Linked DNA regions of Rattus norvegicus. The main gene of each other region encodes a partner of the protein of the gene in region 3 in a complex. Links are inferred from orthologs where the notes say so. Each region holds a gene or a part of one and is shown on either strand. Other genes may lie near its edges.

Evidence for each region.
Region 1: the proteins of Mapk10 (region 3) and Sh3bp5 are in contact, whole or in part, in a crystal structure (PDB 4H3B), measured with the Homo sapiens proteins. The link is inferred for Rattus norvegicus from reciprocal best matches to the Homo sapiens genes MAPK10 and SH3BP5. Residues at the interface, in NP_620448.1 of Homo sapiens: Lys121, Asp150, Ala151, Gln155, Val156, Met159, Leu161, Glu164, Arg165, Tyr168, Tyr171, Val197, Lys198, Ser199, Asp200, Cys201, Trp362, Asp364, Glu367; in NP_004835.2 of Homo sapiens: Val341, Val342, Arg343, Pro344, Gly345, Ser346, Leu347, Asp348, Leu349, Pro350.
Region 2: the proteins of Mapk10 (region 3) and Mapk8ip1 are in contact, whole or in part, in a crystal structure (PDB 3PTG), measured with the Homo sapiens proteins. The link is inferred for Rattus norvegicus from reciprocal best matches to the Homo sapiens genes MAPK10 and MAPK8IP1. Residues at the interface, in NP_620448.1 of Homo sapiens: Asp150, Ala151, Gln155, Val156, Met159, Leu161, Glu164, Arg165, Tyr168, Leu169, Tyr171, Val197, Lys198, Ser199, Asp200, Cys201, Trp362, Asp364, Glu367; in NP_005447.1 of Homo sapiens: Pro158, Lys159, Arg160, Pro161, Thr162, Thr163, Leu164, Asn165, Leu166.
Region 4: the proteins of Mapk10 (region 3) and Atf2 are in contact, whole or in part, in a crystal structure (PDB 4H36), measured with the Homo sapiens proteins. The link is inferred for Rattus norvegicus from reciprocal best matches to the Homo sapiens genes MAPK10 and ATF2. Residues at the interface, in NP_620448.1 of Homo sapiens: Asp150, Ala151, Gln155, Met159, Glu164, Arg165, Tyr168, Val197, Lys198, Ser199, Asp200, Cys201, Trp362, Glu367; in NP_001243019.1 of Homo sapiens: Lys48, His49, Met51, Thr52, Leu53, Lys54, Phe55.

What each region holds. Positions count from the first base shown.
Region 1 is NC_086034.1:6,601,390-6,607,928, reverse strand, and holds part of Sh3bp5 (SH3 domain-binding protein 5), read left to right. Parts: exon of another isoform or gene 1-1,188; intron 1,189-3,838; exon of another isoform or gene 3,839-4,106; intron 4,107-4,645; coding exon 4,646-4,810; intron 4,811-5,432; coding exon of another isoform or gene 5,433-5,525; intron 5,526-6,539. UniProt on the Homo sapiens protein: Functions as a guanine nucleotide exchange factor (GEF) with specificity for RAB11A and RAB25. Inhibits the auto- and transphosphorylation activity of BTK. Plays a negative regulatory role in BTK-related cytoplasmic signaling in B-cells.
Region 2 is NC_086021.1:98,814,980-98,822,318, reverse strand, and holds the start of Mapk8ip1 (C-Jun-amino-terminal kinase-interacting protein 1), read left to right. Parts: upstream 1-2,621; 5' UTR 2,622-2,838; coding exon 2,839-2,909; intron 2,910-3,920; coding exon 3,921-4,026; intron 4,027-6,187; coding exon 6,188-6,496; intron 6,497-7,339. UniProt on the Homo sapiens protein: The JNK-interacting protein (JIP) group of scaffold proteins selectively mediates JNK signaling by aggregating specific components of the MAPK cascade to form a functional JNK signaling module. Required for JNK activation in response to excitotoxic stress.
Region 3 is NC_086032.1:6,800,031-6,807,129, forward strand, and holds the start of Mapk10 (mitogen-activated protein kinase 10), read left to right. Parts: upstream 1-2,263; 5' UTR 2,264-2,654; intron 2,655-7,099. UniProt on the Homo sapiens protein: Serine/threonine-protein kinase involved in various processes such as neuronal proliferation, differentiation, migration and programmed cell death.
Region 4 is NC_086021.1:79,198,811-79,205,922, forward strand, and holds the start of Atf2 (cyclic AMP-dependent transcription factor ATF-2), read right to left. Parts: upstream 3,936-7,112; 5' UTR 3,796-3,935; intron 3,664-3,795; exon of another isoform or gene 3,263-3,663; intron 1-3,262. UniProt on the Homo sapiens protein: Transcriptional activator which regulates the transcription of various genes, including those involved in anti-apoptosis, cell growth, and DNA damage response.

The DNA.
Region 1 (6,539 bases), on a different chromosome or scaffold from region 3:
TGGATTCGGAATCTCCTGTTTCTGTTTCTTGCCGGCCAGTGATAGAATGTCCCTCCCGTCATGTACCCTGCCTGTCTGTCCTGTGAGTGTGTGTTTTAGGAAGTGTCTTATGAGTAGCCCTCAGTGTGGCATTGCATGCCTGTAATCCCAGACTGGGGTTGAAGGATCAGGTGTTCACACCCAGCCTCGCTATGTAGTGAGTTGAGATCACCCTGAACTACATGAGACTCTGTCTCAAAGAAACCAGAGAGAGAAAAAGAGGAAGAGGGATGTTTTTATAGGAGGTCTCCCGTATGCGTGGGCCTCAGACGTCTCCACACCTGCCTGTCTGCACAGCTGTTCCCACCATGTAGGCATTCCTTATGCGGTACTCCTTGGTGTAAGACTTGACTTTTTACCTGTGTGTCTGTGTGTGTGTGTCTGTGTGTGTGTGTCTGTGTGTGTACCCTGGGTCCCCTGGAGTCACAGGTGGCTGTAAATAAACTCCTGACCTCTGTAAGAGCAGTAAGTGTGCGTAACCACTGAGTCCTCTCCCCAGCTCTCAGGTTCATTCTTAGTTATTAAATTCAGCTTCTGGGCTGGCCTGGACCATAATTTTGAATGAATGAATGAATGAATGAATGAATGAATGAATGAATGAATGATGAATGAATGAATGAATACAGGGGTTGGGGAGCTGACTCAAAGGATAAAGTATGTGTTACTCGAGTGTGAATGTTGGGTGGGTGTGGCAGTCTGCCTGTACTCCCAGCTCTTGAGGGACAGGATCCGGGAAGAAGCTGGGCAGCTAAGCTAGATGAATTGATGAGCTTTAGGCCCGACTGAGAGATCCTGCCCCAGTTCTAGATAAGGTGGAGCCATACAGGAGATGCCCATTGTCAACCTCAGGCTCTACCCACGTGCCCAGACCATACAAATACACATTTGTGCACACATAACACACACACATGCCACAAACAACAATAACAAAACCCCACAAGGCTGGGTGTTGATGGGAAGCAGAGAGGAGGACTGTGCCAAGTTCAAATCCAGCCTACTCTACACACCCAAGTCCCAGGCCAGCCAATTGTGTCTAACGGGACCTTTAAAAATTTAAGTGGGATTTGACTCATCTTTGTAGTCCGTACTTCAGGAGGGCGAGGCAGGAGGATTGCCTTGAGTTTGAGCCCAACCTCAAAGAAGCTATCTCAAAAATTAGATAGAGGGGCTGAGGATTTAGCTCAGTGGTAGAGCGCTTACCTAGGAAGCACAAGGCCCTGGGTTCGGTCCCCAGCTCCGAAAAAAAGAACCAAAAAAAAAAAAAAATTAGATAGATAGATAGATGATAGATAGATAGATAGATAATAGACAGACAGACTAGATATAGATAGATAGATAGATAGATAGATAGATAGATAGATGATAGACAGACAGACTAGATATAGATAGATAGATAGATAGATAGATAGATAGATAGATAGATAACAGACAGACTAGATATAGATAGATAGATAGATAGATAGATAGATAGATAGATAGATAACAGACAGACTAGAGATAGATAGATAGATAGATAATAGACAGACAGACTAGAGATAGATAGATAAATAGATAGATAGATAACAGACAGACAGACTAAAGATAGATAGATAGATAGATAGATAGATAGATAGATAGATAGATAGATAGATAGATAGATAGATAGCAAATGAAAGAAGGGACAGAGAGATCGCGTTTTAGAAAATGTTAGGGTCCCAGGGGATGAGCCCGTGTCTCAGAGCTGTGGAGAAGCCGCAGGTAGACTGAGGTTGGAGGGATGGATCACAATTCATCTCCCTTAAACCTGTCCAGATTTACTCTTCTTGGACCCGTCTGGAAAGATGGAGGCCCCAGACTGTTCTTGTGGCAGAAGTAAGAATGGGCAGGGGGCTCAGCTGGAGAGAGAGTCGGGTTGTCAGTGCCAGACAGTTACTTCTCAGTGGCTGATCGGTTCTAGAGAGGGTGGGCATCCCCATCCCTATGTGTGGTTCCTGCTACCTCAGTGGATGTAGATGGCTGGTAGGGGGCATTCATTGAGGCTGTTTTATTTTTATTATTATTATTATTATTATTATTATTATTATTATTATTATTATTGAGGCACGATTTTGCTGTATAGCCCAGGCTGGCTTTTTTAAATGCTCCTTTCCAGTCATTATCAGATTTCCTACAGACCCTGTCTCATGGTCCATCTTTGGAGTCTGACCTCAGGCGCTCCCCTTGACCTCCCTCCATCATCCTGAGTTGCAGCTCCTGCCTGCCCTTCAGGTCTCTCTTTAGGAAAACTTTGCTGGGTTTCCTCTTATGTGAAGCAAGTCCAATTCTCCTGCCCTGCACATAGCCTTGCACATAGCTTTCTGCACATCAGCTACATGTGGGGCGCAGTCCCCTGAGTGGATCTCTGTGGGCTGGAGGGCTGGGACTGTGGCTGTGCACAGACCAGAGTAGCGGATGCCCGTCTCGGGTTACCGTGGGTTACCGGGCTGTTTCTTCCCCCAGGGCTGTGGTGTTCTCAGCTTCTTCGTTTCTTTTCCCCTTAATTTTCTTTGCAAAGTACCCACAGTCTACGTGAAGACTTCCTCTGAGTCATGTGAGACTTTCTCTGGGGAAGGGTGGGGCCCACTTGTTCCCCTCTTAAGTCCCAGGGGCTGTCCTGTGGGTGTCCCACCAGGGTTTTCATAATTGGACTCAGGGAGTGGTACTGGGGCTGATTAGCATGTAGCCATGCCCCGCCCCTGGCCAGACAGGAAATTGGATGTGAGCCCGAGAAGAGAGGTCAGCAGTGTGGCCCCACTGACTGCTTTTAGGGGAGCGTGCTACAGAGCATGTGTGGACATCAGAGGACTGCCTCAGGTGTGGGTCCTCACTGACTACCTTGTTTGAGATAGGATGTGGCTATGTTTCTGCATTCACCACACTAGCCGCCCTGGTCTGTGGGCATCTGGGGGATTCCGCTGTCTCCGCCATCTCCCTCCCGCCCTGGAGCACCAGGTTTCAGAGGCATGCTAATCGGGTCGGCTCTGTGTGGACTCTGGGGACTTAGACTTAGGTCCTCACAAGTGCATAGCAAGCACTTTACCTGGGAGGTGTCATCTTCCCAGCCCTGCATATGATGCAGTCACATCACTCAGCCCACTCTTGAGGGGGGAACACCAACAGCCCTAAAGTAGTAGAGAGTCACCTACGAGGAAACAAACAGATGAGATTGATTTCAGTTTATCTTAGTTTAGTATATCTCACATCTCATCCATCTGAAAAATGGCAATGGGATAACCAACATTTTTCTACTGAGATTTTAAAATGAGGTGGATATTCTTTTGGTGTGTGTGCGCACGCACGTGTGTGGTGCATGTATGTATACTCACATGTGGCATACATGTGAGCATGTATGTACTCATGGCTATGTGTGCACATGTGCTTGTGGGTGAGTGGGAATCAAGAATCTTCCTCAATCAATGGTCCGCTTCAGTTTTTGAGCCCGGAACTCTTCAGCTAGTCTTTCTAACCAGCTTGCTTCAAGAACCGCCGTCCTCATTTTCTGAGCTGGGGCAGCTGCCACACCTCCAGGCGTTTGTGAGCTTTGGAGATCTGAGCCTCCGGTCCTCTCGCATGTGTGGCAAGCACCTCAACTCCTGAGCTCTGTCTAGGCTGTAAGGGATGTTTACATTTTTCGTTAATCACATTTAGATGCTCTGGGGTTACATGTTGGCCTGAGACTTTTTAAAGTGCTGGCAGTGCAAGCATCTGGACCGAGTTCCCAATCCACAGGACCTGCGTAAGAAAGCCAGGCCCAGCAGTAACCCCAGCAACCGAGAGGTGGGTGGATCCCAGGGCTCACAGGCAGCAGCCTAGCCTCACAGGGGACTTCCTGCCAGTGAGAAGCCTTGTCACAGAAAACAAGGCTCCCGAGGAGTGGTCTTCAGTGTTAACGTTAGGTTTCTCCATGTACACACGTCCACGGACATACACGTCCTTGTACGTACATGTCCACGGACATACACAGGCCCGGCATACGCTGTCTGCCGTAGATAGGAGCACAGCTGCTGTGTGCGTTTCCCTTCCTTCTGAAAGCAGGACGTGTGCTCTTGGTAGGCCTGGGCCTGGGTGTCAGTGTGGGCTGAGAGGGCTGCCTGGCAGTGGGCTGCTAGGCTGGCAGTCGTGTACTGGGGTGTTTGCCTGGCCTGGAGCCTTGTTTCTGACCAGCTCTGCAGTCTCAGGAAAAGCTGTTTCCAGCTGCTAGGCCTCATCTGCAGAATGGGGCCTATAACTGTGGTCTCTGGAGCACTCTGGGCTGTGACGTGCAGGGAAGATTCCCAGGACTGCTATGCCCACCTGGGCTTCATTCCTAAGCCAGGGCATCAGAGAAAGGCCTCATTAGCCATTGGCAGCACAGATGCAAGGTCTGTCGAGCTCCAGACTATGGAGGCTGTCTGCTCACCAACCTGGTATTCACTCAGCCATCGGCCTCCTGTAACCCCATCCTGTGCGTGAGGGACTTCCCTGTGCAGCCTCCAAGAGGGAGGCAGAGGTGGATCAAATCCTGGGCCACTCATCTCTGGGGGTGGGGGATGGACCCAGGGACCCCCGGGCTTCACCTCAGGCCTTACAAGACCTTCTCTCTCAACAGGCTCAGCTAGAAGCGCAGAAAGCCACACAGGACTTCCAGAGGGCCACTGAGGTGCTCCGTGCAGCCAAGGAGACAATCTCCCTGGCCGAGCAGCGGCTGCTGGAGGATGACAAGCGCCAGTTTGACTCTGCTTGGCAGGAAATGCTGAATCACGCTACTCAGAGGGTAGGTGTGGCCGTGTGTGCTGGTGCTGGGGACCCAGGCCTACAGGCTGTTCTTTGACTCCACACGAGAGTAGAGGTAGCTTTCTGGGTGGCATAGAACCCTCCTGTACAGGCCATGGACTCTCTGCCTTATGTAGTGTGTTGGCTGGCAGGGCTTTAAGCCACCAGTGACAGGTGGACATAATCTTTCTCTGTATTGCCTTAAATGTGTCCTCAGGTTCATGTGGTCCACCACTGTCTTGGCAGTGGAGTTGGGTTTTCCAGAGGGGCCAGGATGTTCTCCAAGGTTGGCTTCATGACCTCAGAAGGACTGCAGGCCCCAAGTGGAAGCCCAATTAACACTTTTGACCTGCCACTGGGTATATGTTGGTGGTGGGTGAAGTACCCAGACTGGAATAAGTGGGTAGACCCTCAGGAAGGGCCTTCTGGGTGAAGCTTGCGTCTGGGGAGTAGCGCTCTGTAGGCAGGAGCTGGGAGTGGTTGTCATAAGGGCTTTACGTCGCCATTATTTGGCTCTTGACCTGTTCCCACCTTGCTCAGAATTGGAAGTGATATTGTCTGGTCCAGGCAGACTAGTAAACAAAATACTGGCTGACTTCAAAACAGAAATACATCCCTCACAGTTCTGGAAGCCAGGAAGTCCAAAGCCAAGGCTGATGTGTATGCTGTCTGATGAAGACCCGTTTCTGGTCCTCAAAGGGCTCTCTCCTCTTAAGGTAGCAAATGAGCCTTCTCAGACCTTCCTGCCCGTCTGCTTGCCTGCCTGCCTGCCTGCCTGCCTGCCTGCCTGCCTTCCTTCCTTTCTTCCTTCTTTCCTCCCTCCTTCCCTCCTTCCTTCCTTCCTTCCTTCCTTCCTTCCTTCCTTCCTTCCTTCCTTGTGCTTGTGCTAGGGATCGACCCCAGGCCCCTTCACACTGTAGGCAAGCACTCCAACATTGAACCACAGTGGGGCCCCACCCCTCTGGTCCCACAGCATCACTTCCCCAAGGCCCACCTCGATATCCACACTGGGGACATTTCCATTCCAGCAGGTAGAGCCGTGTGCTTGACACTGTGGCATTGGGGTTTACTGGGATCACAGGATCCACTTCCTGCTTCCGATTCGGCTTCCGATTCTTGGTCCCCTTGGCCCTAGCCTGTCCTCCCTGCAAGGCCAGTGTCAAAGCAAGGCTGGGGGTTTGCTGTGGGTCAGGCCAGTGAGCTGCAGCCCCTGGTGGAAGGAAGGCTCAGGCTCAGCTTTGGCTTCAGTGAGTGACAGGAAGACTGTCTGTCTGTGGGGTAGAAACGAGGTCAGGAGTCAGTGCCAGTGGCTGTTCCCTTGTCAGTGTCCCCTGTCACAGTTGCTCAAGTCCTGGGGGATCTGATGATTACAGATGGCCCCGAGTGTTTTTAAATAGAAAAGCGTGACATACAAATGACTTCAGGAGTCAGATCTGACTGGACTTCATACCAGCTCTCCCTGTAGCCGGGGACACATGCCTGTGGCTTGGCTTGGTGGCCTTGAGCCTCCTGCCCTCTAGTGGGTGTGATGCTTGTAGCCCCAGTAAGGCTGAGAAAAGTCTCACTGGGTCAGCTGTAGACAAACCAAAGAGGAGGTTGGAAATCTTGCAAAGCATGACCAGACAGATGAGAAGATCCAGTTAACTAAGCACAGGCCGCGGGCCACCTTTCATTGCATCCTCGTGCCCTCCAAAGCGCGTAGGAGGCCATTCCAGAAGTCACCAGATGTG
Region 2 (7,339 bases), on a different chromosome or scaffold from region 3:
CAAGGGAACCAAGGCAGCAAGGCAGTGTGGAAGTGCATGTGAGTACCTGGAGCAGGATTGCTTGGACCATTAGCAGAACCCAGCCCAGGCCAGGCCAGGGTATGGAGTGTGGTGTGTGCTCCAGGTCACAGCCTAAGCAAGGTGTGGCTGGAGACCAACACTTTGAGAGGCTGTGTACTGCAGAAAGACAGACGTCAGAGTCAGGCTGGCCTCCAGGGTCACAGGGCCACCAAATGTGGCTGTGCTATGTGCCTAGCCAACATGGGCAAGTAGGGCTAATGGGCGAAGTGCTTCTGCCCTGGGAAGCTGCCCAAGACCCAACCCCTAGGAAGAAGCTGCCACCCTGCCAGGGCTGCGCAGTTCTCCTGGGTCACCTCCCAGGTCAGGGCTCATACTTCTAAGAAAATGGCTTGGGCGAGGTCAGAAGAACACTCCCCCCCGCCCCCGTCTTCCCAGTGCACGTGCCTACCCTCCAGCTTCCCTGCCTCTTTTCTTCCTTCCCTACAGCTGGTATCTGTGAACACGGAGTTGCAAGTCCCTTTCTTCGGCAAGTGTCTCTTGGTTCTGCCCAGGAGATCTAGACCATGGTGACTAGGGGAGAGTGGGTGGCAGTAGAGGTCAGCCCTTGGCCAGTTCTATCCCCTCCTAGGTAGTGACATCCTCCCTCCTTTGTAACTCACATGCTCCATCTTATCCTGGGGTGGCCAGGAGGAAGGGAACTGAGGTTTACAATACCGATGCCTGAGGCTTAGGGCACCTTATCCATGAGATGGCCCAGAACCCTATTCCAGGGTGGTAAAGAAATGTAGCACATGGCAGCTTGGAAGAAGAGTGAGACACTTCAGGCCTGACATGATGTCATCCCATGATGTCACCCTGCCACCTCAAAGCACCCCAAAGTAAGACTAGGGTAAGAACACCATGGGTTTTAAATGGATGAAGTGTGTCATCCCTGATACTTCGTTCATGAGTGAGTTTGGGAGGGAGAGAAGACAAGAACACGCTCCCTGCCCTCAACGGAGCTAAGAGTTAATAGAAGGCTCCTGACCAGAGCCCAGAGCCCTTCTCACCTTTGCCCCACTAACCTGGTCTGGTCTGGTCTGGCCCCACTCAGTCCTGTTGTTTGGTGGACTGGCTTCTTGGTCCATGCCTAGAGGACATGGATACACAGACACATCCTGTGGCCATGTAGAATCCTTAGACCACTGCAAACCCTTCAGTCTGAGAGGAAGGGTAAGGACTGAGGCTGTCCTGTGGCCCGCACCTAGCAAGTATCTACTGAGCCTAGAGTGTGTACCTGACACCTCACCAGACCTGCCCTCCAGGAGCATCCGGTCTAGATGGGAGTCAGGAAGGGAAAAATACAGATGATGAGGGGGATGTACTCCACCCAGCTTTGTAGTCAGGAAGTGTAGGGCATTTCTTTTTTTCTTTTTTCTTTTTTTTCTCAGAGCTGGGGACCGAACCCAGGGCCTTGCACTTGCTAGGTAAGCGCTCTACCACTGAGCTAAATCCCCAACCCCAGGGTAGGGCATTTCTGATGGATGGGTCAGGAGGGCTTCCTGGAGGAAGGTTTCTCTGAGCACTGTTGGGGCCCAGTACCCACCCTTGGGAGGCAAGGCCCAGCAAACAGTAAACATACAAGGCTGAGTCTCCCCCTTGCAGAGTCCTGGAGGGTTTTTGAGTGAGGAAAGAAAGGATGGTGGTGTCCCTTACTGTCTCATGGCCACAGGAGAGGTCAGAGGGGGAGAGGGGAGACTGAGGCTGGCAGTCAAGGTGGTGTAGTTAATGCAGGAACTGGACCAGGGTTTGGCAATAAGGAGACAGAGGTGTGTGCAGACACCAGTGGAGCTGGGGGCATCCGAGGACACTCCCAGAGAAGATGCCTCGTGGGACCCAGGAACTCAGCCATGCTGTCTGAGTCCCAGACCTTACAGTCAGACTGCACTTAGGGTTAGCCACAGGGCCAAGAGGCCAGACTGAGGAGGGTGCTCTGGCCTCTGGACCAGTCCCCATGTCATTTCAGTACCAGCTAGTAGCCACACCCCCCAGCCTGAGAACCTGCAGCTACCCTTGGGGTCAGAATCTTCCAGGGCAGTTGTCACTAGGGACCTCCATGTTCAGTCAAAGTCACTCCCAAATGACTCCCAATCCTGCGTCCAAACTAGTGGTACCCATTGCTGTCTTCCTGCGCATCCTTCCAGCCAGCACCAATCCCTGAACCAACCGCCCTGGCCCTGGGCTTGCAGAAGCCTCCCAGATGCGGTGTGGAGGCGGAGCCTGTGTCTGTGTGGAATCAGGTGTCCATTCTTGGGGCCCTTCGGGAGCCCCTTCCATCTTCTCATTTGGCACCCTGAGTGTGGCGCTGGCCCTTTAAAGCAGATCGGGGTCTGGCGTTGAGGGAAAAAAATTACCAGATTTCTGCTGTCTGCTTACATGCCTGGCCTTGGGAGGGAAGGGGGGGTCACTCCAGCCCCCAATAGGGGCATTGGAAGGGCAGGTGGAGCCAGTAGCATTGATTGCAGTAACCTGATCCCGCGGGGGAGGCGACGACATCGTTGCGCATCGGGCTGCCAAGGAAGGAAGCTGCCCGCATCTGAGGGTTGGGCCAGGAAGAGTTGGGGCTGGGGCCTGGGTCGGCAGCTGCGGCCTCCTCTCTGGCCCATCTATTTTTAATGAGCTCCCCGGGCTTCTGCAGCCGGCAGAATGCAGAAAGGCAGGCCCAGTCTGTGGAGGCCAGAAGTCCCAGCCCTGCCTTGAGCTCTGGCCCCCCTACCCTTCTGGGCATGAAAGGGCAGCTCTGGAGCCCCGCAGCCCCCTGGCCGGGCAGGGCTCTCCATGCAGCTGGTACTGAAGATGGATTCGAGCCCAGACAATGACAGCTGGTTGGAGGATCAGTGGGAACGCTGGTAGGGTCCTGGGGCCTGGCCTCAGGTGGGGGAAGGGCGAGTTGTCCGGAGGTGCTCTATTGAGCTCAGGGGCCCTGTTCAGACTGAGTGAGGTAGAAGACAGAGGTGCGAGCCTTCTAGGCTTCCCTGGGAGCTGCACCCTGTCCTTCCTCTCCTGGGTGACCTTGGATGAGCTTGTGTACCTCTGCTGTGTGCCTAACCTCCTGGTCTCTGGGAAAAGGCCCAGGCATTCTCTCCAACTCCCCAGATGTCCCATTTATACTAAGCCAGACAGAGTACCAGGGTCAGAGTGAGCCGGTGCAGGGGACAGGTCAGCACCACAGTGGCAATCTCAGTAGTGCATTCCAAGGTAGGCACACAGGGTAGCCTGGGCTCCTGGAAGTCTGTTAGTGGTCTAGTACCAAGTGCTCTCCATGGCCACTCACAAGACCTAGCCTTGGTCTTCCCTGACCCCATTTGTTCAGGGTCCTTATACCAGATGAGATTGTATAGTTGAAGAGATGACACCAAGAATGTTGGCAGGTCCCCCTCACTGTGACCATGGCTCAGTGGCGTATATCTTTGTGGGTGAGAGAAAGGGGCACCTACTGTGCCCTTCTGGTGGCTCCTTGGGTCTTGTTACTGTGGAGTGCAAAGATTTTCCTACTCTGGTACCTCTTGGGGGTTGAAATGGCCTTGGCACTGCCTTGGCCATAAAGGCATTTCTCCAGTAGAACTGAAGGTCTGGACAGTTGGGCCTTCTAGGACTGCCTTCTGGTTGGCAGCCGGATGGAGAACTCCCAGCCGGTGATGCTGGAGAAGCCTGGAGATGCCTCCTCCGCCACCCTAGGTGGAATGCCTTTTGGCTCCAACCCCAAATCCTTCCCCTGCCACTGCGCTGACAGACTGAGTCCTTCATCTGGGAGCTGCTACCTGCCTCCCACGGTCTTCCCCTGAGAAGAGGGAGAGGCCAGCAGGCTTAGTTGGGGCTTAGGGGCCCTGGGTTGTGACTTTGGTTTCTGTCCCCACTAGGCTCACCCATGATATCAGCCTGGAGGAGTTTGAGGATGAAGACCTTTCGGAGATCACTGATGAGTGTGGCATCAGCCTGCAGTGCAAAGACACCTTGTCTCTCCGGGTAAGGGCTGGGTCTGAAGAGTCTGAGTGGCTGGGAGGATGGGCACAAAGATTAGGGAACCCCGCTATTTACAAAGGAGCTTGTGAGTGTGTGTGGCACTCCCGGGAAGTGAAATAACAAGGTAGGAAGCATCTAGTATAATGCTTGACACATCTTGGGTGCTCAATCCAAAATCTCCATTTATTATTTTTGTCAGTACTAAAGCCGGAAGCAGCTTCTTCAGTTGTTCACAGGGAAAGAGAGCAGGGGGCTTGAGATGTAGGACAGTGGCAGTGAGGACCAGAGTGAAGGGAAGGGCCTCTCATGAGCTTCTTGGCAGAGGGCCTGCGACAGTACTGGGTGGAGCCTGGTGGAATCTGCAGTGCTTTGGGGCAGGAAGGAGGAACCCGGGTGCTGCTGGACTAGCTCCTGTGACTGCTCCTGCACCCCCCTGACCACACCGCCAGCATTTTAGGCTTTCAGTGGCCCCTGCTGCATGGTTGGTCCAGTACTGGCATTGCTCAGAGCCCCTTGGCTTTATCCTAGTGACAGGCTCTCTTCTGTATATCTGAGTGCCAAGGTACCCGGGATAGATGGGAATCCCCATCCTGTTGTCAGAACACAGAGCAAGGACTTACCTGCAGGATAGGGAAGGCAACGGCACAGGGCTAAGGATCAGAGGCCAGCACCAGGTGTAGTTGAGTTGCTAGATATGGCATTTCCATGGTGTGAACCAGGGAAGGGCATTTGTCTTAGTGTTGCCCTCCTGGTATCCCTAGCACTTTTACAAACTTCCAGGCAAAGGGAAAGCAAGCTGTGAGGGTGACTTTATGCTTCCCAACTCCTTCACTCTCTTACCAGGCCAGCAAGGATGGAGGCAGAGGCTACTACTTCTGGGTTTAGAGAGTGGTCCCAGAGATGGGTCATACTTGCTTTGAACTTTAAAACCACTGTCTCCCGGGGTTTGGGGATTTAGCTCAGTGGTAGAGCGCTTGCCTAGCAAGCGCAAGGCCCTGAGTTCGGTCCCCAGCTCCGAAAAAAAGAAAAAAGAAAAAAAAAACAAACAAAAAAACCCACTGTCTCCCATATGCAAAGCTTTCAAGAGGGTCTAATGCAATTAGCCAGAACTATCACCTCCCCCTGCCCTGGTAGTAGGCTAACTAGAGTGATCTCCTGGTAGGAGTCTAGTCAAAGTTTCTCTCTCTGTGTCTCTCTGTCTCTCCTCTTTTCTCTCTCTCTCTCTCTCTCTCTCTCTCTCTCTCTCTCTCTCTCTCTCGTCTCTCTGTCTCACTCCTCTCCTCTCTGTCTCTCCTCTCCTCTTCTCTATGTCTCTCTGTCTCTCTCATCTCTGTCTCACTCTCTTCTCTCCTCTCCTCTCCTCTTTCTCTCTCTGTCTCTCTGTCTCGCTCGCTCTCTCCTCTCCTCCTGTCTCTCCCTCCCTCTCTCCCTCCCTGTCTCTCTCTCTCTTTCTCACCTGGAGGACAGCATTATAGGCCTAGTCAACTCTTGAGGGTTGACTAGTCAAAGGATCTGTCCAAGGTGCCAGGAGTTAGAGGCAACAGTGGAAGTAGCATACAGTTCGGGTCTATAAAGGATAGGTTGGCTGAGGGATGTGTTCAGGTCAGAGCTGACTGGGAAGGTCTCCCCTTAAAGTTCCCCTTCGGGTCCAGTCAGGGTCTCCTGCCCGCAGTGCAGTCTTCCTTACCTGGCTGACATGCACTTTCCCCAGTTTGCTTCAATGTCCCCTTCAAATGCCAGTTGTCTCGCTCATGCTCATCCCCATTGGGGACGGAATTCCTGGGCGACCCCTAGGTCTCCATGGCAACAGCGGTGATTTCACTCTGGGCTCGGCTTACAACCCGGGTGAGGTCACTGGCCGTTACCAAGGGAACGGAAGGGTGCAAGGAATCCGGAGGGGGGACCGTGGGAGAAGAGAGGCGTGGGCGGTTCTCTGCGCTGGCGGCGTAAGGATCCGGCCTCCGGGGGGAGGAGGAGTGGCGGACGGGAGCGGCCCAGTGCTTCTGTCTCTGCCTGGCTCCCAGTGTCCCACCCCTTGCGGCCGCGAAATGGACTCGTCCGATTGAGGGGCGGGGCACCTAGGCATCAGACCCACCCCTCCTGCGAGACCCCTCCCGCGCTCACAAGGCCCCTCCTCTGACTCCCCTCCGTCCGCGCCGCGCAGCCCCCGCGCGCCGGGCTACTGTCTGCGGGTAGCAGCGGTAGCGCGGGGAGCCGGCTGCAGGCGGAGATGCTGCAGATGGACCTGATCGACGCGGCAAGTGACACTCCGGGCGCCGAGGACGACGAAGAGGACGACGACGAGCTCGCTGCCCAACGGCCAGGAGTGGGGCCTTCCAAAGCCGAGTCTGGCCAGGAGCCGGCGTCTCGCAGCCAGGGTCAGGGCCAGGGCCCCGGCACAGGCAGCGGAGACACCTACCGGCCCAAGAGGCCTACCACGCTCAACCTTTTCCCGCAGGTGCCGCGGTCTCAGGTAAGACGCAAGCAACCCTGTGCTGAGAGAGGGGGCGGCGCCCTGCGTGGACAGGGAAGACGGAGGGGCGCGGGGCTGTTGGTGACGCCGGGTACCTAGGCGCGCCATGCCTGGGGTGGGACAGGTTTTCTGCTGGGAGGGATAGAGGAAGGACTTGACAAGGAACAGGAAAGTCTGTCCTGGGAAGGACTGAATCCAACTGTCTGGGTATGGAGCCTGCACTGCTAGGGATTTGAGTGGGGAGAGTTGCAGAGGACTAACAAAGGAGTTGAGGTCCTGCAGTTAGGTCCTCTTCGGGTTAGTGCTTCTGTGAAGGTTGAGGCAGCAGCAAGGCCTGGAGAAAAGAGCCTCCGAAATGGGATGAAGGTGGGGATGGGAATTCTGGGTCTGTCTCCAGTTGGACATCTCAGCAGCTGGACATTCCAGAAGGCAGCAATAGAGTTGGGGTGGGGGTGGAGTTGCTTGGCTGAGTTGGGGGCCTAGGGCCCCTTGCTGGTGGCTGGATGCCAAAGAGGGCTCCGTCGACCCATTGTCTTGTAGGCCTAGGCAGGAGAGATACTGGGAGGGAAGGCGCTGAGGAGGTAGGGCTGCTAATGGATGGTGCAGGGGCTGCAAGGAAGGGGTTGGTCCCTTTCCCAGTATCCTCTTGGCATGGCTTCTGGCAGCCCAGCTCATCAATGGTGTGTGTTGCTTATGGCATTTCCTGGGGAGGGAGCCCAAGTTGTGTGTGGAGAGCCTTGTGCATGGGCACTGTTGAGGGTCTCAGGAGGCTGAGAACGTAGGATGCAATGAGCATTCTGGGAGATCCAGGAAGGAGGGCTGCGGATACTACATCTGTCATTT
Region 3 (7,099 bases):
AGAATACCTGGAAATGGAATTGTTGAGTCACACTGTAGGTGTCTGTTTATCATGATGGAAACCTTCCGACCTGCTTCCCAAAGTAGCTTTATCACTTTCTATTCTAGCCAGAGAGGAAAAGAGCTCTCATAGACCTGCCGGTATGGGTGCTTTTAATTTTAGCAATTTTTGTAGGCCTGGAGTGGAATTTCTTTGTGGATTTAATTAGCATTATTTCCCGATGACTAGTCATGTTGAATGCCTTTTCATGTACATATGGACTATCGATAAGCCTTCCTTCAGGTGTCTGTTGAGGTCTTCTTACTCATCAAACATCTTTGTTCTCATCACCTGATTGTAAATGCTCATATAATCAGGAATTTGTGTATATTGAGTATATTTTCACAGGTATGTCAATATTTTCTTCTAGTCTGCTTTCTCACTGATGACTGTGGGTAAGTAAAAGCTTTTAATGTTGATGAAGTATGCTTCTCTCCCCCCCCCCTTTTTTTTCAGAGCGAATACATTTATTTGCTCTAAGAAATCTTACTCTACCACAAGATCAGAGTTTTGTTTTTCATTTAGAAGACACATATTATTTTACTAGCTTTACATTTTTTTTAACCCTCACATTGCGGTACATATCTTTTCTTGACTTAGTATTCATTCAGAGTGCGGGGTAAGAGCTGAAGTTCAGTGTCTCCTTGTCAATGTTGAGTTACTTTTGACTTTTGCTACAGAAACAAGTTGGGAGTGCTACATGGTGGCAGAGGGCTTGTTTAGCCGGTGTAGGCCTTGACATCTGGTTCCTAACACAGAAAGGGTGGGAAGAGAGAAGCAGAGGAGAGAAAGGACATTCACACCAATAATTTAGAAGCTGTCTATTGTGAAGTTGTTTGCCTGTCCATCTATAGTTTTATACTAGGAAGCCGTATAAGTAGACCAAGTGGAAAGTAAAAATTAATAGTCAGCTACTGGTTCTTATCGAACTTGAATTCAAAACAAAGAAACAACCAGAGCGGTGTTGGGAGTCCTAGAGTGAAAGCTCACCCAACCTCTATTCCCGAACTTTCTTCTTGGGTAACACAGCACAGAGACAGCGAACCCGACGTGGTTCCTTAGGAATTCAGGACGTGTCACAGGGTCTGCCATCTCTTTTGGCTTTACACCTGCTTTATCATCTTCATCACCCCATGACAGAAGCTCCTTGTTCAAGTCAGCGGGCCAGTTCCAAGGCATGGTGTGGAAACTGGCATTTTAGCACTACTTGGTTCAACAGACTGGAAACCCATCTGAAAGGTGTTTGAGAAAAACTGGCATTGAATCTCATTGTGTAGCTTGAGAAAGTCCAAAGACTAGGATTACTTTCGAAATATGTATTGAAAAGATGGCTTATGTGTTTTGGTAGACATTTTAATAGTGCAAGTGCTCTGTGGATCATTCCATCAAGCTATCATATGTACATACATATATATTGTGTGCAATTCATATATATGAATTGTATATGAATATATATGCATTATATATATAATTTAAAACTTATAGCAAAATCAGAAAAGCTGCTTACAAATGAAATATGTAGTAAATGCATTTTACATTAGTTTCCCATGGAATTTTCTGCCAGCAGAAAATGAGTACCCAGTACCCTAATTTATTAACTCAAATTGTCAGTAGTTTCTTTCTACCTTAAACTGCAGTATAAACACCAGTCTAGCGAGTTTGCTTTAATGGATATTTATGCAGGGATTTTACAAAATAGGAAGACAGAGAAGTGGAGTTGGACAAATGACCTCTGTGTTCCGGGCGCAGGTCCAATCTTGCTTCCCTTCTGAGGTTGAGTCCATCTCTTGTTTGTTTTGACATTCAGAGAGATGGTACACCTCTGTCTTTCTTCACTGTTTGCAAAAAGCTGAGGTAGTTGAAAGACGAGGGCGACTGGCTTCCCAATGGCTTTTTGATCTGCCCTTGGTGCTGTGCAGAGCTGGAGCGAGAGGCAGAGAAGATGCTTCTTGGCTTTGTGCAGAATCCCTTCCACCCCATCCCCCGCCAGCGCTGAATTTGCAGATCGCGGCCGCCACATTCCCGTTCCTTTACATTCCGAAGCCTGCTTCTCATTTTGCCAGAAAACGAGGTAGCTGTAGCCACAGATAGACTTTTTCCTTTTTCTCTTTCCTCCTCCTACCCCTCCCTAGACCTCTCTGGGCTTTGACGTCATGTGTGCTCCTTTCAGTTGCCATAGCAACCCCATTCCCCAAGCCCTCTGTCCGTCTCCTCTGGTAGGCTCCACAATGGTACAGGCAGCCTCCCGCTGCACAATGGTTTCCAGGCAGTGAGAGGGTGATTCAGCAAGCCGCTCTCTCTTCTCTTAAGCCTCCTCGTCTCCGTTTATTTTTATGGGGGTGGGTGGTGCTTCTTATATGCTTACCCTTTTTTTTTCTATTTTCATTTTTACATATTTCCCTTTTCTTCCTCACTCCTCAATTCCTAGGGGCTTGAGTGAGCTAAAGATTGGGTCTTCTTGGAAATCACCTGTCTGTTATTATTTTTAAACAATCTCTGCACCTCCAAAGACTCTCCTCCTTATTCCGGTTTGGAATGTGGCTAATGAAAGCCCAGTAGGGAGGATTTCTGGGGCAAACAGGCGGACCAGGATCCTGGTTCTCAGGCACGGAATGGTAGGTGACTCCTTGCTCATTCTGGGTTCTAACCTGGTTTGGGAGGGTGGATGATATCTGTCATTGCTCCTGGTGGGATGGGAGAGAGCTTGAAAAAGTAGGAAGTGAGGGTGTTGGAGAGCCGGTCTAACGAAGCGTACTATCTCTGGGCAGGAAGACTGGCGTTCTCTCTGGGCAAGCATCTCTTCTCAGAGAGATGCTGAAACCTTTCTGTTTGGAATGAAGGATTCCAGAAGGTGGGACAGACCGTTATTATTATGACTTGGCAGAGTAAAAGAAACACACACCAGGGTGCAGAAAGAGAGAGGAGAGAGGAGAGAGGAGAGAGGAGAGAGGAGAGAGGAGAGAGAGGAGAGAGAGAGAGAGAGAGAGAGAGAGAGAGAGAGAGAGAGAGAGAGAGAGGCTTGCTTAGAAGTCTGGATCTCACTTTTATCTGAGAAATGTTATGGGTCTCATAAAAACATTCAAAAAATGTCATTAGTAAACATAAATGTTTATTTCCAGACTGGTTTAACTTAAATATTGCAGAATAGATTCATAGAGTTTAGAGGTCTTTACAAATATATTAGAACTATGTTCCTCTGGTAGAAAGACCCCGAGTTAAATCTGGGCTGCAGACAGGAGCACAGAACAGGGACCAGAGCAGGGAAAGGAGCAAACACTGGCACTGCAGGCGGGCAGCCGCCTAGGTGAAGGTCCCTTTAAGAAAGTGATCTTCCAGTCACAGCGGGCAGCGTTTTTCTATGGCAAGGTTCCCAGGTATTCTGTGCTGAGATGCTGTGTCCCCTAGAAATGTCAGAGCATTTTCAGAAAGGAAAAGGAGCTGCCACTGGAAGAGAGATGATGATACAGCTATCAGAATTTATATGTTTGTGCTTCAGAGGATAAGTGTGCTTTATTCGAAAACCTCCAAGTAAATCAGGCTATGGATATTTCAAGAAAACTATATATATATATATATATATATATATATATATATATATATATATATATATATACCTTCCACCATTTAAATAAGGGACTAAGGTGCTGGTTTGACTTCCTTTTGCAGATAACTTTCAAGGGCATTGCAATTTGGCCACAAAAAGGAATGTATTACCCCAGGGCTGTAGGTTTTGGAGCAGCCACAAGGTTGTTTACATGGTCTGCATTTACTGCAGAGCAATATGTCTGCATGACAGAGATAACTTTCACGAACACAGGCTAAGTCATATGGGACAAGCCACAGCTAGGAGTGAAGGAAGGCTAGCGTTACCAGGCACTACCTGTCCAATTTCTGCCCCTTTTTAATGCTGCTTTTCTGGGTCCTGGACCGGTTTGCAGAATGCTGATCAACATATTTAAAATGGTTGCGGTAGCAGCCACTTCTCTCAGAGAGGCTTCAGTAGACGGCTGTCCTCAGTGAGCATGTATGCACAGGAGCCATGCTCATGAATGAATTCACGAGCTTCCAACTCCACTTTGGGATCATAGGGACTTAGGGCTAGAACAGTTTGATGTAGCAGTCTGGCTGCTTCTGGTGTGTGCCTCCTTTCTTTCTTTGAAAAACAAGAAACAACAAACAAACAACAAACCTTGGTCTTACCCTTCAAATTGACACAAATTGTACAGCTTATGTATCTACTTGCACTAGAAAGGATCGTCTTTTCCCCACAGTGGGACTAGAAAAGCAGATGAGAAAGGTGGTTTGACCTTAAGTGTGAGTTTCCCGCTTCCTCATTGGCTTCCCCTTCTCTCCGGTCACGAGCGGCTTTCATTTTCAGGACGGAATCTTTGCAGTTGTAATGAAAGAGGGTCCTGGTGACTGGGAAGCCCAAACTACCTGGGGAGTGGCGAATTCAGCTGCCTCCAGCTTCCTTCCTGCCGTCCCTCAAAACAGCATCTGCTAGGGGAGGGGTATGTTTGCATGCCGGAAGGGGCGATTCCCCCAGGAACTGAGAGTGCTCTCTCTCTGTCATTGTCTAGCGCATCTGCAGCTAGTACTACGGCTTCATAGTACGTGGTCAAGATGTTTCAAGGTTAAGAGGAACTGAGCGGTGATATGGATGCTATAGAACGTGTCATTTTAAATCTACAGCAAAACTCACTCACTGTCAGTGTGTGCTATAGGAATATCGGAAGCAAAGGAGATTTGCCTAATGTAAACGATCGAAGGCACGTACATATATTAAAAGTTATATCCTAGCCTCGTGTGAATGAACCTGTTTCTTTCACTGTGAGCCTAGCCACGAAGGCTTTCCATCTTGATGACAAGATAAAGAGCAAGGGAGGTTTCCTTGTTTGCTAAGTGCGGGGCTCAGGAGTGTTTGCTTCTTGCTCCAGAAGCTGACCTCAGGTCACATTTGTAGCCAGAGGCAGGATGTGGAGCGGAATGGATGTGAGTTAAGCCAAGCAAATCTTTGGTTGCTCGTCAGGAAAATGGGCTGCTAGCGAAGGCTTCCTGCAATCTGTAGGAGAAGCAAACGCGCCCACACGGAGAGGACCTCATTCCCGTTCCCCTGCTTCCTGTACGGTTCTTCCCAACGTTCTTGCTTGGCCCAGTGGCAATCTTGTCTAGAGGGGCGCAGAAGTGTACAGTAGGGTCTAGAAAGAAGCACAGCATTCTCCTTGCTGCAGGCATGCCTGTCCAGGAGGTCCTACCACACAGGCACCTGCTACTGCGGCCCTAGGAGGTCCTACCACTCAGGCATCTGCTACTGCGCCTTCTCCGGAGCTAGGAGGGGAGGGCTCGTGGGGAAAGCGGCCTACAGGCTCCCGGGAGGGAAGCTGCATCAGTCAAGGCGAACCAAATCCATTTGTGTCTTCAGCATATTGAGAATATTTATTGCATTACATAATCTTGTGTTGAGACTTGGTGCTGCCGATTCGGGTAAAAGGGCTTGCTGCATGTTGTGTGAAGAGAAATTGTCTTCCAGAACAGAGCTTGCGTGTGTTAGTTCCTCCCTGGAGGCTTTGATACTGAAGTTCAAGTGTTTTGAGCCAATGCTGCCCCCGACCCCCGCCAGCCCCACAGTTTGAGTACATTTCAATCCATGAGCTAATTAAAGTACAGAAAAGAAAGTTAAAAACTCTGACCGCTGAGGACCATTGTTTCCCCCTATGTTTAATGTTGTAATAGTGAATCTTGGTAAAATGAGTGGAAACACCAGGTAACACTGAAAAAATCTCTGGCTCAAACTTGTATGTTTGAGAGCAGTTTCCAAACACACCTATTTTCAGTAAAGGATTTCATAGTCTTATTGACGTTTTGGACCCACAACAAGCTACTTTGGCCTTTCTCACCCTTCTTATCCCTGGTGCCTCCAAGATACAAAACCTACAGATTTCATAAAATAATGCAGGTGGGAATGGAAACCCAAGTTCTGTACAGAAAAATAAATGACAACCAGCTCCTGTGGAATTATTCCAGTCACAGTCTCTCAAATGCTCTGAGACTGTGATTGAAGGTGTAGCCATGGCACAAGGCACCAGGCATGGCACAGGACACCAGGTATGGCACAGGGCACCAGGCATGGCACAGGGTACCAGGTATGGCACGGGGCACCAGGTGTGGCACGGGGCACCAGGCGTGGCACAGGGTACCAGGTATGGCACAGGCGTCAGGCATTGCTAAGCAGCTTGCACAGTAAGAGAGAGGATTCTACTCAATCCTCCCCTTACCCCTCCCCCTTCTCTCCTGAACGTCAGGAGTAAGACAAAAACATAAACAGCAGAGACTTAAAAGCACTGGAAATGAATGCCAGTGGGGTTCCCTCACAGAAATAAAGTCCTGGCGTGTGGCTAGTGGCCTGCCTGTATGTACTAGACACTTCCTAAGTGTGGGATCTTGGAGCCATTGTTCTCTTTCTGTGTGGAAATGGGACCTGAAACCACAGAGTGTAAAAGCAGGTTTCTAGGTCTACTTACTTGGCTCTTTTTACTCTGTGTCTCGGCGGGGGGGTGGGAGGAGCCGGGGGTGGGGTGGGGGTGGTGGGGGAGCTTCCCTCTTCACACCAATTACCTCGCCCGACAGTAATTTCCTGTGCTTTCAGATACTGTCTTGTTCATCCTAGCACACAGTAGGCACACTAGGCACACAACAGGTGTCTGTCAAGTGGGAAGTGCTTTGCATAGAAGACGGTGAGAGGGGCTTCAGCTGTCGGAGTTGATGCTTGTGTGGGGGGTTGAGTTGAGCATTGAGGATGGGACAGCTTGATGGCCAGTATAACAGGAACAGGGGAGAGGAAGATATGCTCCGCTCTAAAATAGCGATGTATGAAGAAGAAGCAGGGCACGCTGGGATGTTAGAAGTAGGTGAGCGGATGGTGGGAAAGGTATTCCTAGGGAAAATGGCCATACTCTGGCTGGGGCGGGGTGAGACCCTTGTTTGACCAGAAGGGAGATTATTTTAGGATGGCGGCCATATTTGATAAGCCGTTTGACAATAGGTAGGTAGAACATTGAAA
Region 4 (7,112 bases), on a different chromosome or scaffold from region 3:
CTAGTAACAGGTAAAACTAAATGAATAATGCAAAGTTCCACAAGACAAAATGAAAACAGTTTAGAGAACACACTTAAAAATCAAAAGTGGTGCATGCCTTAAATCCCTGAGCTAAGGAGGCAGAGGCAAGCAGATCTCTGAGTCTGAAGCCATCTGGTCTACAGAATGACCCCCAAAACAACCAGGGCTACACAGGGAAACCTGTCTCAAACAAACAAACAAACAAAACCAAAAATAACAAAAAAAAAAAAAAGGGAAAAAGAGAAGCAAATGGTATAGATGAATATAAACATATACTAAAATTAACTCACATCCATTTACTAATTGCCAAGTACAATTATTCTGTTTCTCTAAGAACTTTCTCAATGATCTCATGGTAACTAGTCACTCACTACTATATTTCAAGTGTCTTGTTGATGTTTTTTTAATTTCTTGGGTATTAATATAGAAAAAGGTTGACAATTACCAGTTAAGATATGAACCCAAGTAAATATACCTACATCCTCAAGATATAGTCACACCTCCTTCCCCCATTCTACCCCACCCCCCACTTCAAAGGAGCAGGAGGAGGAAGAGAAGAAATAGAATTGATTATTTTAGAAGCAATGATGTGGCTCAGCCAGCAAAGCACTCGACATGCAAACCTGACAGACAACCTGAGTTCAATACCCATAACGCATGTAAGGTAGAAAGAAAGAACCACCTCCATAAAGTTGTTCTGACCGCCAAACCCAAGTTGGAGTATGCACATACCAGTACAAGCACATTATACACATATACCTGAACAAATAAAATGAACATTTAAATCCCTCCTTTATGATTACCAAAATGCCAAAAAGAACAAAGTAAGCATCACAGTCCCTATCTCAAAGTGAAAATATAAAATCAGTTTTAGGTTTGTCAATTAAAAAAAAAAGTGAAGACATATACATCACATACAAGTTTATAATTGTATATTTCATATCTATATAATATAAAACACATACATACAATTACCAATGGCCTTAAAGACTCATGCATTCTTCCATTTTCTATGAAGTGATACCTTGTTTTAACTTTTTAACTTTGAGAAACAGAACAAAGAAAGTGTTTTTCTACAATTCCCGCCTCCCCAAGACAATAATAATGATGGTGATCACTATTTCTTCAACATTATAGAGTTACATATAGGGCTAATGAGATGGTCCAGTAAGTAAAGCACTTGCCACCACGCCTGATGACCAGGGGTTCATCCTCAGAACTCATGTTGGAGAAAGGGAACATTTATTCCTCAAAGTTGTCCTTTAATCTCCATAAATATGCTATCATCCACAAGGCAGGAAGGCAGACAAGCATATATACACACACAAATGTAAAAATAAAAACAAATTACACAGAGGTTTTGAGGACGTAGACCTCAATAAAAAAGAGCATACCTTTAGTCCCAGTACTTGGGAGGTAGAGGTAGGCAGGATCTTTATGAGGTGGAGGCCAGCCTGGTTTACAAGCAAGTTCCAGTATAGCCAAACTACAGAGAGAAACTATGTCTGAAAAAAAAAAATAAATGAAAAGAGCTTTCCTAGCACGGGTAGAAAAGCAAACAAAGGACTAGGATGGCTCAACAGCTCCTGTGTTCTTGCAGGGAAGCTGGGCTAGGTTCCTAGCACCCACATGGTAGTTCATAGTAATCTGTAACTCTAGTTTTAGGGACTCAGGATTTACAATATCCTCTAAGGGCACTGCCCATAAATGGTGCACATACATATATGTAAGCAAAACACAAAAATAAGTAAACCTTAAAAAAAACAAACAGAACAAGTTGCATTTCAGGCAAAATTTCAGTCTAAAGAAATAGATGTGAATATAAGACAAAATGTTAAACTATTGATTATATAAGGACAGGTGGTTTTGTAGGTTACAAGTTAATACTGGGAGTATTATATGTAATAATTTTCATAGAGGTCAGTTGAATTATCTAATTACTTCATTGAATTCTAATCAAGGAGGATTTCAGTAAAAATTTTGCTTTAAATATGAAAGATTTATTTACTTTTCTACGGGCATTTTAATAAGAGTAATAAAAGAAATACCAGTTCACAGAAACACACACATTGGAAGAGCCTAAAGGCAAAAATGAGTGGAAACAGCAGGTAAGGTAAAGCTGTTTACTAGACCTAGCAATATAATTGATTAGGAGAGTACAGATAAATAATTAAAACTCAAGTTTTCAAGATTTTTTAAAAGTTAAAAAAAACCCTAGATTTCTTGACTTAATGTTAGTCATGATTTTAGTGGATAGTATCATTCATCTCAAAACAATACAGCTTTAAAAATTTAAATACCCATCAAAACATCTCTGCAATTACTTATTAATGATTTTTAAGACCTAGAAGTTTAATTATCACTCAACACTATCAATGGCCTTAAAGATCTATGAACTTAGTTTTCTTGACCAATTATATAGGATATGTTTTTAGAATGCTTTACAAAATAATCTCTTGGCTTTTGAAAAAAGTTTATTGCAGGGATTCTTCAAATAGGTTTAGCAAATTTAAATACAAGATTCTATTTCAGGAAGTCATCTAGAATTAACTGTTTTAAAATAAGCTTTTATAAAGTCTTACAATTTGGGTGCAAGAGACCCAGGCCATTTGGCGCTTAATGAGTAGTATTCCTGGAAAGGTTATTACTTGACAATGGCCAAGGGTTAAGAATTCCTTCAAATTGGACAAAATAAGCTTCTCAGAATAGTGGGTGTTTGGTCAGATTTCAAATATAGCATTACATGCATGTGGTGTGAACGTGTCCATAATTTATAATCCCCAAGAAACTGTGACTTCCACAAGGTAATCTAGGTATTAGTCAACAGGCCTAAGGGTCCACCATGAGTAATCCCTTTTACTCCATTATGTTGGTGGTAGTTTCACTCCACCTCCTCAGTTCTAAGAGACTCCACTAAGAAGAGACAATTTTATATTACCTATTGCATAAAAATAATGCCCATCTCCTCCAAGGTCTTGGTTCAATGAGTGAGCGCCATGGGGAGACATACACACATCCCTCCCTCCCTCTCTTCCTTGTCCCTGGGGTAATACAAGGCAGATTATTTCCCTGCAAAAGCTGTGCAGAACACCCGTCGAAGTGAATGGGGGGAAATAGCAGAATCAACCTGCACCCACACCTCAGCCCCGCCCCACCTGGAAAGGGAGGGGGGTGGCGAGAGTATGAGGGTGGCAGAAAGGACAGAAAAGGCCGAGACAACCAGCCCCCAGGTTCTCCATACCATTGGCTCCGTCATGTTCCGCCGAGGCCAGAGACCCCGGCCAGATTTTCAGTCAAGCTCCCCAATCCGTCACCGCGGATTCATCCCAAACCCCGCGGTCCACAATCGCCCGGTGCCCGGTGGGGAGCCCAGCATTGGCCCTTTGGCGGCCCGATCAAGGACCTGAGGTGGGGGTCTCCCCGTCAGATGGGCGGATCCGAAGAGCGCCCTGGGGACCTCGCAAGTGACCACACAAGAGGATAAGTCGGAGGGAGGGGTCTGAGAGGAGCCGTTATTCCTTCTCGCTCACGCTTGGGAAAGCGCGCGAGGGAGGGGCCGGAGCCCCAGCGCGTTACCTAACGGTCCGGTCGGTCCGCCAGGCCTGAGGCGGAGGCGCGGCTACAGCGGTCCGGAGGGTTGGGGTCCACAGCAGGGGCGCAAAAGGGGTGGGAGGCGGGGGGTGGGGACTACAGGCAGCGACGTCGCCATGTTAGCACCTTCTTCCTCCGTCTCCCTACAGCCTCCAAGCCTGTGGCCCTTTCACCATTACTCACCTTTCCAGGTCACTAATTCATGTTCCTTTCAGCCACCAGCGAGCCCGGAGCGCTGCCGTGTTTACAAACTAGCCCCGGAGGAAAGGGCTGAATCGCACTTTAAAGGCCACGGGCTCCCACAGGCTTCCGTCCTCTCTCGCGAGATCCGACTGACAAGCCTTCTCCCCGCCCCACTCCCGGCATCCCCGCCGCTTTCTTCTCGCGCCCCTCCCCTTCACGCACACGCCCCTTCCTGATTTCCTCCGAAGGAGCGCCTGCAGGTCAGGTGACTCCGTCCTACACCAGGAAAAGGGCGGGCCTTCGGGAGGGCGGGGGGCGGGGAGGCGGGAACCAAAGAACACTCGGACGCTAGTGATTGGGCGAAGAGCAAGAAAGGCGGGAAGAAGTTCCGAAGGGGCGTGGCCAGGGTGCCCAAGGACCGTTGTTTCCGTAACCAGGGAACTGCAGAAAGCTGTGATTGGCAGCCATAGGGAGGCGGGCACCGGAGGCGGTACCGGATCTGGGGCGCGCGCGCAGGTGGCGGTGGAGAGTACAGGAGGGCGTGGGCGGTGTGAGAGAAGAAAGGTGAGGTCGGGGGAATCTAAAGGAACCCAGCCCCGGCTGCTGGTGTCTCCTTCATCTTGGTTTCCGGCCTCTCTAGGGATATGGGGATATAAAGGGAGACGCTTCTGAACCACCCTCCGAATACCCAGAAGCCAGAGCCGGGGAGCTACGCTTAAAGGTTTTGGAGAAAGGATTTGGCAGTCATCACCCCGTGTGCGGAGTGAAGCAAAATAAGTCAGCCCTGTGTAGAAAAAAGAAACCTTTTCTCAGAGAGGTCTTTGTTTGGATTTTACGAAGCCAGAACTGGAGCTGATCTTCGCCCCCACCCTGCGTCAAGTACATGGTGTATTACAGCACATACGAGTATGTTCAAAGGCAGTGATCAGAAGGAAATACACCGTCTTCCAATCCCATGTCATATTTTAAAACAAAGCAACGATCTTTTTCCTGGAGAAAAATCCTTGGAATTATGGGATTTTCTTTTCTCAAATTTCCTTTACTTAGTTACATATAAAAATACTAATTTTAGAGACTGGAGAGATGTCTCAGCGGTTAAAAGCACTAGATGCTCTTCCAGAGGACTTGGGTTCAATCCCCAGCACCCACATGCAACCCACACTGGTCTGTAACTCCACTTCCAGGAGACCTGACAAAACACCAATGCACATAAGACCGAAATAATTTAAAAATACCAATTTCAATAGGATCGTTTCATTCTTTTAAAGCTTAAGAAATCGGTATTAATGTTTTAAAGAGGACTAAAGGGCGCCAATGAGAACAGCATTCTTCCCACAATACTTTCCTTTTACTTTGTAAATTGTAGTGCCAAAGATATGCCTGTTAATTTTACCAAGTAGGTTTCAAAAACTGGGAGAGGCAGAGGCGGGGAGGACCTAAAGAGATGGCTCAGTGGTTAGGGGCGCTTGATGCTCTTGCAGAGGACCCAAGTTTAGTTTCCTATCACCACATAGTCGCTCACAAAGGGGGATCCAACAACCTCTTCCAGCCTCTGTGGGCATGCGTTCATGCAGGCAAACACTGAAACACAACAAGTAATGTCCTTAAGACTGGAGGCAAGAAGAAAGAGTGGCTGATTAGTGTAATGAGGACGAAAGAGACAGACTTTTACGAGTCTATAGCTAATTCAGGTCCACTCCTAAACATACTTATTCCTAGTGAAGATTTTGGTGCTTATTTTAGGGATATTGGTTGTCCAATAAATATGTACAAGTTGCAAAATGCGATTAAAGCACCTGTGAAGTCTTGCACTAATTTTTAAAAAGCAAGCCTTGGTTTTAGTATGTTTTTCCATTTGTTAAATGCTTATTTCTAATTTAGATTTATGAATACGATTTGTGTATTTACATAAAATACACTCAATTTCTCCACACCAAGTGAAACTAAAATTGTAAGTTTGCCGGGAATATCGTCTTCGAGTTAATGAGCCTGCAATCTAATGATGTGAGATTGTAATGTCACCGGACCTTTTAATAGGTTCCTGGCCTGTACACGTGTGTGTGAGCCAACTCAATCTTCCTTTAAAGCTAGTTTAATTACTTGAGAAACCTGAAAGAAACCAGATCATTACCAGTGTTGGTTCTGAAGTTAGAAGGAAAGTACCATCCTGTAACATTAGGAACACTGCAGGAATGTTAGGCTACTTAACCACTAATTACATCAGCAAGGTGTCATCTGCTCGGATTACTGGTTGGAAGGATGACAGACAAAAATGTAGGACTGCCAGATGATAAATTGCTAGGTTCAGAAAACTTTCACTAGAATGCTGCTCTCCCCCATCTGACAATATCTAATGGGAGAAAGAAAAAAACAAAACAAAACAACAAAAAAAATCCTAAAAATGTTAAAGCATTTCTAAAGAACTTTAAGTCTTGATACATTTCCAAGTTTTTTGCTTTTCCACATGTATATTTTAAAATTGAAACTTTTTGTTTGTTTCTGTTTTTCACTATGTAACCCTGACCATCCAGGAACTTGCTCCTTAGACTAGGTGGGACTTGAACTCACAGAGATCTGTCCGTCTCTGCCTCTGTTGGGATTATAGATGTGCACCATCACCATCACCACCTCCACCTCCACCACCACCACCACCCCTGGGGTAAAAACTGAAATTCTTGTCTCCAGAGTGATTTATTTTCATCTCAAGTGGCAGCAGCTTTGGCATTAAATGTTCATTGTTAGATCTCAAATCCTGCACTCTAAATGTCTCCAGTCGAGGGCCAGGGCTGCCCTTCCCCCTATAATCCAGCCAAAGCCTTTAGCAGGTAGGGAATGAGGGATGTTGAAAGACCTGATGTCCAAGCCCACTTTGATATGTTAAATAGGCATCTCTGTTAGCCATTTGTCCTAGGTTTGAGGCCTAACATGTTCTAGAGGAACATGTTATTCTGAGGAAAATATTTTCAGAATTCTTTTATCTAAGCAACGAGTGTGGGTTTTGTTTTATATTTTTGCTTTTTTTTGTTTTTTTTTGTTTTTGCTTTGTTTTGAATTTTCAGTTTTAGCTAACTTTTTAAAGATGCCTAAAATGAGGGGGAAAAAAAGGGAGATGTAAGTGGAAAACAAATCCAGTACAGTGTTCTTGCTTTAGGTATGTTGGCAGGCCAATGGTACACGAAGGGGCTTCCTTTACCCTGTGCTCCTACGGCCCGTTTACTCTAGCTTTTCTACAAATAGAAACAAGCTAAATGGGGATAATTACTATTTCCAGTTCTGATCCCATGTTCCAGCCACTCTCACTATTTCTAGCCCAATAA